Arabidopsis thaliana: one gene and its partner. Each later gene encodes a partner of the first gene's protein in a complex. Each region holds a gene or a part of one and is shown on either strand. Other genes may lie near its edges. The genes, in order: AT3G58700 and ATL5.

The links.
Region 2: AT3G58700 (region 1) and ATL5 share a complex: the UniProt entries of both Arabidopsis thaliana proteins name them as parts of the large ribosomal subunit.

Annotation. Positions count from the first base shown.
Region 1 is NC_003074.8:21,709,559-21,713,810, forward strand, and holds AT3G58700 (Ribosomal L5P family protein), read left to right. Parts: upstream 1-1,886; 5' UTR 1,887-2,102; coding exon 2,103-2,105; intron 2,106-2,194; coding exon 2,195-2,302; intron 2,303-2,396; coding exon 2,397-2,439; intron 2,440-2,759; coding exon 2,760-2,955; intron 2,956-3,059; coding exon 3,060-3,258; 3' UTR 3,259-3,546; downstream 3,547-4,252. Other genes in the region: AT3G58690 (Protein kinase superfamily protein), read left to right, coding at 148-386, 502-637, 838-1,096, 1,194-1,326, 1,407-1,688. UniProt on the Arabidopsis thaliana protein: Component of the ribosome, a large ribonucleoprotein complex responsible for the synthesis of proteins in the cell.
Region 2 is NC_003074.8:9,268,652-9,273,640, reverse strand, and holds ATL5 (ribosomal protein L5), read left to right. Parts: upstream 1-2,175; 5' UTR 2,176-2,313; coding exon 2,314-2,316; exon of another isoform or gene 2,317-2,466; coding exon of another isoform or gene 2,467-2,469; intron 2,470-2,689; coding exon 2,690-2,759; intron 2,760-2,851; coding exon 2,852-3,070; intron 3,071-3,165; coding exon 3,166-3,245; intron 3,246-3,330; coding exon 3,331-3,447; intron 3,448-3,563; coding exon 3,564-3,868; intron 3,869-3,956; coding exon 3,957-4,068; 3' UTR 4,069-4,364; downstream 4,365-4,989. Other genes in the region: GLYR1 (glyoxylate reductase 1), read left to right, coding at 127-231, 374-484, 564-665, 750-851, 978-1,093, 1,183-1,261, 1,332-1,502, 1,609-1,692. UniProt on the Arabidopsis thaliana protein: Component of the ribosome, a large ribonucleoprotein complex responsible for the synthesis of proteins in the cell.

The DNA of each region.
Region 1 (4,252 bases):
ATCTTTTTACCTGTATTTCTTGTTCTTACGCCGGATGCTGAAATTTGGTTCTAATTAAGGAATAATTTTGGAAGATAATTGTTCAATTAGGGTTCGATTTATGTTCTGGGTATTGAATCTGTTATTGTTTTACCTGTCGATTTTTAGGGTTTGATTGTGAGGAAAAAGGCGATTGTCAGAAAGTACAAGATGTTACTGAAAATGGGTTGCAAATTTTCACCTTTAAGCAATTGCATTCAGCAACTGGTGGATTTAGCAAGTCTAATGTGGTTGGGAATGGTGGGTTTGGCTTGGTTTATCGTGGTGTGCTTAACGATGGCAGAAAAGTTGCTATCAAGCTCATGGATCATGCAGGAAAGCAAGGGGAAGAAGAATTCAAGATGGAGGTTTGATTATTTTTAGCTTACTCTTTGATCTTTATTTTTTCAAAGCTTATGCACATTTTGCTGTTTGCAGCGTTTTTGATTACTTGATTGATCAATTTTTTGTATCTGGTGCCAGGTTGAGTTACTGAGCCGTCTGCGTTCACCATACTTGTTGGCACTTCTTGGTTATTGCTCAGACAATAGTCATAAGCTGCTTGTGTATGAGTTCATGGCAAATGGTGGTCTGCAGGAACACCTGTATCTTCCCAACAGTAAGTTTCTTTTTCCAGTAGAGTTAGAAGTTGCTGCATGTTTGAAGTTGTCATCTGAAGACTCCAAATTTAGTCTATCTGTCTAGATGCTAACAATTTGAACATGAATCCTAGATAGTGTATAATAATTACGAATTGGTGAATATACGTCTGGAATTCTTGTTGGATTTGATAGAAAAATCTCTTTTTCTTGCATTTAGGGTCTGGTTCTGTCCCACCAAGATTAGATTGGGAAACTAGGATGAGAATAGCTGTGGAAGCTGCAAAAGGCTTGGAATATCTCCATGAACAAGTATCACCCCCGGTGATTCATAGAGACTTTAAGAGCAGCAATATTCTGCTGGACAGAAACTTCAATGCCAAAGTTTCAGATTTTGGATTGGCTAAAGTCGGATCAGATAAAGCTGGTGGACACGTTTCTACCCGTGTATTAGGCACACAAGGATATGTAGCTCCTGAGTATGTTTTTCACTCAATCATCTCTTTGTTCTTGTTTCCATCAGTTAACTTTGATAGGTTGGATACTAATACCAATATTTTCAATATCTTATGTCAGGTACGCTTTAACTGGTCACTTGACAACAAAGTCGGATGTCTATAGCTACGGTGTTGTCCTGTTAGAGTTACTAACCGGTAGAGTTCCAGTAGATATGAAGAGAGCTACAGGAGAAGGTGTTCTTGTCTCTTGGGTACGCGTTCCTTTCACAAACTGCTCTTGTGTCATTTCTTCTTGTCTTTGCTCTAATAACTTAACTTTTCCTATCTCCAGGCTTTGCCTCAATTGGCTGATAGAGACAAAGTAGTAGACATAATGGATCCAACACTCGAAGGACAATACTCTACGAAAGAAGTTGTTCAAGTTGCAGCAATAGCAGCAATGTGTGTTCAAGCAGAAGCTGACTACAGACCCTTAATGGCAGATGTGGTGCAGTCACTGGTTCCATTAGTGAGAAACCGTAGGTCAGCTTCAAAGCTTAGTGGCTGCTCTAGTAGCTTTAGCTTGGCTCGGTCTCCTAACTCTCCGGGTAAAGCAAGCATAGGTTCTCAATGAATAAATCAATCAGAGAAGACGAAATGTGAGGCTTTTATTATGTAACGGTATTTACTAAAACAGACAATGATGTAAACACTTGAGTGATCAAACATGGAGTCATAGAGATAATCATCAAATAAACTTTTTCGAATCTCTATGGGCTACTAGTTATTGGGCCAATCCTGACCCATTACTATATTCTACAGAGACGAGAATGATATTAGTTCATGAGAAAAAAGGTCACGTGAGGGAACGTGGGCTTGATGGAGAAAGGAGGGTACAATCGTCATTTTGAGTACTCGTAAAATTTGCTTAGAACCCTAGAAGGCTAATTAGAACTAGGGTTTATATAGTTTGCCGCTTCATCTCCGTTTCTTCTTTCCGATTCGTGTTTTCCCGTCGGCCGGAGATATATCGCAACCCTAATCCGAAATGGTCCGTCGCAGTTAACTCCTCTTCTTTGGTTTCACGTTTTTTGATGTTTCAAATAGAGATTTGATGATATATATTTTGGTTGAATTCAGGCGTCGGAGAAGAAGCTATCGAACCCAATGAGGGACATTAAAGTGCAGAAGCTGGTTCTCAACATCTCCGTTGGTGAGAGTGGAGATCGTCTCACCAGAGCCTCCAAGGTTTCACTTTTTTTTATCTGTTTTGTCTGGTTTTCATATCAACCCTGTGTGTATGCTCGATTTTAATGGAATTAGTTCTTCGATAACTTGGTAGGTGTTGGAACAATTGAGTGGTCAGACTCCTGTTTTCTCCAAGGGTAAGTTATTTTCTAAGTTGTATCAATTCATCGTTCGATCTCTGAGAAAATTTGCTGGAGATAGTTAGTGATCTCGACTAAAACAGGGGCACGATGCTTCTGAAGTTTAGGACGATGAGTTAGTTTTTTTGAAGGTCATTAGTTCTTACTTTTTGGTGTATGATTTTTAATTGTTACTGGCCTGGATCCATAGATAATCGTAGTGAGAATCAGTAGCTCTATCAATTGTTTTGTATCAATTGCTTGGAAGATGATTGTAACTTTGTTTTGGATGAAGAGAGTTTTGACATAAATCTTAACACTTGTTATCTCTTTTGCAGCTCGATACACTGTTCGTTCTTTTGGTATAAGACGTAATGAGAAGATTGCTTGCTATGTGACTGTCAGGGGAGAGAAGGCAATGCAGCTCCTTGAGAGTGGATTGAAAGTTAAAGAATACGAACTCTTGAGAAGGAACTTCAGCGACACTGGTTGCTTTGGTTTTGGTATTCAAGAGCACATTGATTTGGGTATCAAGTAAGTCTCATTCTTTCTAACACATACATAGAACAACTTTAGAGTGGCTTTTGTGTAACCAGTGATCAAACGTACGGGGTTTTTAAATATATATTTGATCTCAGGTATGATCCATCGACTGGAATCTACGGCATGGACTTCTATGTTGTTCTTGAGCGACCAGGTTACCGTGTTGCGCGCCGCAGAAGATGCAAGACTCGTGTTGGAATCCAGCATAGAGTGACGAAAGATGATGCCATGAAATGGTTCCAGGTGAAATATGAAGGAGTCATTCTCAACAAGTCTCAGAACATCACTGGTTAAACAAATGTGTCAAACAAATAGCTATCATCTGTTTTGTTTTTTTTGGGTTCAAATCGTATTTTCTCAGTTTTGTTTTGCTTCTCTGTTCTTCAGACATTTTGATTTTCCTTTATATATTTTGCGTATCTACTACTCCGACAAAAGCTGACTAAAGGTCTAAAACACATTTCCGAATTTTCGATACTCCGACAGGTAATGAACATTCTCTATATCTACATAACTCATCCCCAAACCGTAATTTTGTAAAATAACACTCTTAGTTCAACAATAATCGTTTGTGTTATGACTTATAATCGCATTCTGGTGTTATAGTTAATAACTGCGTTATAGTTTTTCATGAGGTAAAATGCATTTTTACATAAATTTTTAAACGAATCTTTGACTATGCGTCTATATGTTTAATATTTAGAAGACGTGTCAATTATATAATTACCCTGTGTACTTGTACATTATTTAACATAACAACAACTTCAAAAACATTATCCAATCATGTTTCATTGTCAATTCTCAGTTGCATCAGATTCGAGCGAATTATTGATTGGTTCGACATTAATTATCATGATCAGAAGTGACCAAATCAAACATATACATTACATACGTTTTGTGTGTGTAAACACGCGTTACATACATAAACTAATCAGAAAACCTATACAACCAGAAAATACAAGTTTTGGCTCCATTCTGACAGAAGAAGTTGGAGACAATAATGGAGTAATTAAACTAATAATTATGACACAGGCTTTTATAGTTTTATCTATTTATGATTTTACAATTTAATAAAGGACTGGAGGAATCTTGACTTGATCCCACACAGATTTATTATAAGCCATTTCCAGCCCAAATTTCTGTACACATTTATAAAATATTAAAAGTCATTTGTCTCTAGACCCATATATATTTTTTATTTTTTATTTTTACTTTTTATCTCAGATGAATTGCAGTTTTTATCTGGCCAAATTCATCCACAAAACGTCATCAAATGTGACATATTAAG
Region 2 (4,989 bases), about 12 Mb from region 1:
TTCCTTTTCAAAGTAAGTGTATTTGATGATAATGGTTCTCTGATTAGAAAAGGCTCCGGCTTTATCATTCTCAGACCATCATCACTAAGCAGTAAGTAAGCACTATAATCGCAGAAGATAGATAAAATGGAAGTAGGGTTTCTGGGTTTGGGAATCATGGGAAAAGCCATGTCAATGAATCTATTGAAGAATGGATTCAAAGTCACTGTATGGAACAGAACACTCTCCAAGGTAATTTTTTTTTTTTTTTTGTCTTTGATTGTGTTTTGGTATTATGGTTTTCTGATTTAGTTTTAGTTGTTCAGATCTGATAAAGTCGGAAACTTTTTGAGTAATTTAATGCAATTTTGGGAATTTTTGATGATTGTGACAGTGTGATGAGCTTGTGGAGCATGGTGCATCAGTATGTGAGAGTCCAGCTGAAGTAATCAAGAAATGCAAATACACTATTGCTATGCTCTCTGATCCTTGTGCTGCTCTTTCGGTATTTGAAATCCTTTTTTGCTTCTTTTGTGTGTGTTTTAGCATTGGTGATGAATGATATGAAGTAGTTGTTTGATTAGGTTGTTTTCGATAAAGGCGGTGTTTTGGAGCAGATATGTGAAGGAAAAGGTTATATCGATATGTCGACTGTTGATGCAGAGACTTCTTTGAAGATCAATGAGGTTGAATCTTTTGTACTTTAGATGCTGATGATAAGATTAGAAGAAGGTTGATTAGTTTGATTGAGCTGTGTTGCGCATTGGTAGGCAATCACCGGGAAGGGTGGTCGGTTCGTAGAAGGTCCGGTTTCAGGTAGCAAAAAGCCAGCTGAAGATGGCCAACTCATTATCCTTGCTGCTGGTGACAAGGTACAACTCAAAACTGTACTTATGGATTGATTGATAGATCTCAAGAACTGTTTTAGTTGGACTTAGTAGGAAGGAGCTCTCGATGTGCGGCTATAATCCGTTTGTGTTTTAATCCTTTTTTGTAAGGCACTCTTTGAGGAATCAATCCCAGCTTTTGATGTCTTGGGGAAGAGATCGTTTTACTTGGGACAAGTTGGAAACGGAGCTAAAATGAAGCTAATAGTGAACATGATAATGGGAAGGTGAATGTCCCGTCTCTTTTACAATTACTACCATTAGTAGTAGGAATGGAACATGGCTTCATGATCTTATTGTTTTTCGTCTGATACAGCATGATGAATGCATTCTCTGAGGGGCTTGTATTGGCTGACAAGAGTGGACTTAGCTCTGACACTCTTTTGGATATTCTGGTGAGGTGATCAAACTTTTGCAAGCTCTGAAATAATGGTGTTGGTTTGAATCGGTTTCTGCTATGGGCAGGATCTGGGAGCAATGACTAACCCGATGTTCAAGGGGAAAGGACCTTCAATGAACAAGAGTAGTTACCCACCAGCATTTCCATTGAAACATCAGCAGAAAGACATGAGGCTAGCTCTTGCTCTTGGCGATGAAAACGCGGTTTCCATGCCTGTAGCCGCGGCTGCAAACGAGGTCAGTTAGTTAGTTAGTTACTCAGAGACAATAACATATTGGCTCTCCCTCCTCTAGATTGGTTTCTTAGCTTGAATCTTAAAATATATGTTTCGGTTCTCGACAGGCTTTTAAGAAGGCGAGAAGCTTGGGACTAGGAGATCTCGACTTCTCTGCTGTGATTGAAGCTGTGAAATTCTCCCGCGAATAGCAAACTGTTTCAAAACATCCACTCATTTGGATTGGCTGAGATACTGAAATCATTGTTATCTTCCCAAATAGAGATTTACTCATTTGGCCAAACACACATTTTACTCCTTCACCAAATAAAAAGTCTTAACCACATATCCAGAAACGTTCATAGAGTTGCAACCTTACGTTTCAACTACTTTATGGCTAGTTCACTCGATATTGGTCCAGAGGTAGATCAAATTGATTGAAACAGAACCAATAAAATAGAGCAAAGTTTATTTGAAGTTGGTCACTGTTAAGGTTATATGAAACAAAGGAAGCAAAAAAGAACCCGTAGATGAGAAGATCAAAGAAATAACATTGCATCAAGATGGTCAAGAGAAATGTTCCTATGGATTATAGACAAACGAGGAGAGGAGGAGACCATTTCAGTAGAAAATTGGATTTCGTTGGAGTGTGAATGTAAAAGCCCATAGGCCCATTAATAATATAACTAGTAAAGCCCATTAACATTTTTCAGCCCACGAGGAGTTTTCTAGGGTTTTGTCTTATAAGATGTCGCATTTAGGTCATTCCGCCTCTTGCTTCTCTTCACTCACAATCTCACAGCAAAGCCTCTCGTTGCTAGAGGAATCAAACAATGGTAAACCCTAGCTTTAATCTCTATCTCTTCTCATTTCTCAATCGTTTCTTCTTAATCTTCTCTTAAGAAAATCGGGTTTTGATCTTCATTTCATATAGAAATCTCCTGCATTGCTTTTGATTAGATATCGTAACGAGAATTCGTGATCCTATGGTTCTATCCACCTTCGTAGATGTTTTTCTTCATGGGTTTTTGGTTTTATAACTTGCTTGAGAATTGAAATAGGAAAAGTTTGAGACTTTGCTTTTGTTCTGTTTTAGAGGTCACTGATACGTATTCAATGGAGTTCTTACCGTAGATCTTTGTTACCATCGAAGAACCTTTATATTGTTGGATCTTAGACTAATAAAATAAGATGATTTGTTGTTGGTAGGTGTTTGTGAAGTCCACCAAGTCGAATGCTTACTTCAAGAGGTACCAAGTGAAGTTCAGGAGAAGAAGAGGTAATAGATTGTTGATTCGTTTTATTCTGATGATATTGTTTGTTCTCTCTTTGTTTCAATCTGTTTCTGAAAATTATTTTATTTTTGTGTAGATGGAAAGACTGACTACAGGGCAAGGATCCGTCTTATCAACCAAGACAAGAACAAGTACAATACTCCTAAGTATCGTTTTGTTGTCCGGTTTACCAACAAAGACATAGTGGCACAGATTGTATCTGCAAGCATTGCTGGTGACATTGTTAAAGCTTCTGCTTACGCACATGAACTGCCTCAGTATGGTCTCACTGTTGGTCTTACAAACTATGCTGCAGGTATTGAATGTGTCATCTGGTATTGTTTTCCAATTTAATATGGTTGATTCTGTCTTTATGGCTTACTTATGTGTAATTTTTTTTTGTTGAACTAGCTTACTGTACTGGCCTTCTTTTGGCTCGCCGTGTTTTAAAGATGTTGGAAATGGATGACGAGTATGAGGGAAACGTTGAGGTATGTTGTGTGATTGGTTTCATCTTGATAATAAGAAGCATTGTTATTGTCTCTTGTTAGAAACTCAAGTCACACAATGAATCAGGCCACTGGAGAAGACTTTTCCGTTGAGCCAACTGATTCAAGGAGACCTTTCCGTGCTCTTCTTGATGTTGGACTTATCAGGACCACAACAGGAAACCGTGTGTTCGGTGCTCTTAAGGTATTAACTTGTTTCTCTTTTTTTGTTGTGAGTGCTCTTATTTGTCATTCTTCTTGAGCAAATGCTTATACTGGCAATTCTTTAATATCCTTTTGGTTCGCTGTTTGAATCTGTAGGGTGCTTTGGATGGTGGTCTTGATATCCCTCACAGTGACAAGAGATTTGCTGGGTTCCACAAGGAGAACAAGCAACTTGATGCTGAAATCCACAGGAACTACATCTATGGTGGCCATGTCTCAAACTACATGAAGCTGTTGGGAGAAGATGAGCCAGAGAAGTTACAAACTCACTTCAGTGCTTACATCAAGAAAGGAGTTGAAGCTGAGAGCATTGAGGAGTTGTACAAGAAGGTTCACGCAGCTATTCGTGCTGACCCCAACCCAAAGAAAACCGTGAAACCTGCTCCCAAGCAACACAAGAGGTAGGGAAACAGAATCAATCTAGTCTATCTATATTCTTGTCTTGTTGGTGTATTGGTGTCTCATTTGGTCTTCCATTTAACAAAACAGGTACAACTTGAAGAAACTTACTTACGAGGAGAGGAAGAACAAGTTGATCGAGAGAGTCAAGGCATTGAATGGAGCAGGTGGTGATGATGATGATGAGGACGATGAAGAGTAAATCAGTCAAGCCTTCTTTATCTCATGCCTCTTGTAGTTTTTTATCTTTTGAGCTTAATGCCTCAAATTTTCTGTTTTCAGACTAAAACACTCAGCTTTTGTGTTCACATTTTAATTGTGTTCGAGGATTTTGATATTGAGGATACATTTTCTTTGAAGTATCATTATCTTATTATTACCTTCATCATAATTTTCAAGAATTTGTATGACAATAGTTTGATGACTTGATTTTATCTGTAGTTTGCTATTGTTAAATGTAAGAACTGTTAGACTTCATCTATATGAACTAGAAAACATTGCTACAAGATGAACTAGATCACATTACTACAAGTTTAGAGCTAAATCACTGTTTAAGGAAATAACTCAGTATTCTCTTGGAGCTATTATTATATGTAGCCTTATCGGGTACTGGAACTGTCTTATGCAAAGTAGGAATGACTTATCTGCTCTGTAGTATGAAGTATGAACTATCCTGGAAGCTGACTAATACGTAATTTAATTTCTCTCGTGACTTCTTTAGTATATAATCGAGAATATGATGTGTATTATTTGGATTCCAAGTAAATTACATGAATGGTGGAGCCCTACATGAAAGGGACCACGATTTGTCCTTAGCAAAATTTTCCATAAATTTTTATGGTGAAAGGTAACAGCCATGAAGCTTCTCTTTCTCTACCAACAGAGTCAACGATCTGTATTCAATATACACAACGTCTCTTTGTTAATCCTTCCTCTACCATGTATGCTTAGTCTTAGATCCTTTTTTCACCTTACTAATGAATTCTTCTTTTTTCCTTGGTACTCTTGCAGCTGCAATAGGCTTCTTAACCCTTTTAAAAAAATTCAAATTCCAACAAGATAACAGAGAAGATGATTCTGCTTCTTTGTCCCCTTCATCAGTTCCTCCATCTTCTTTGTCTCG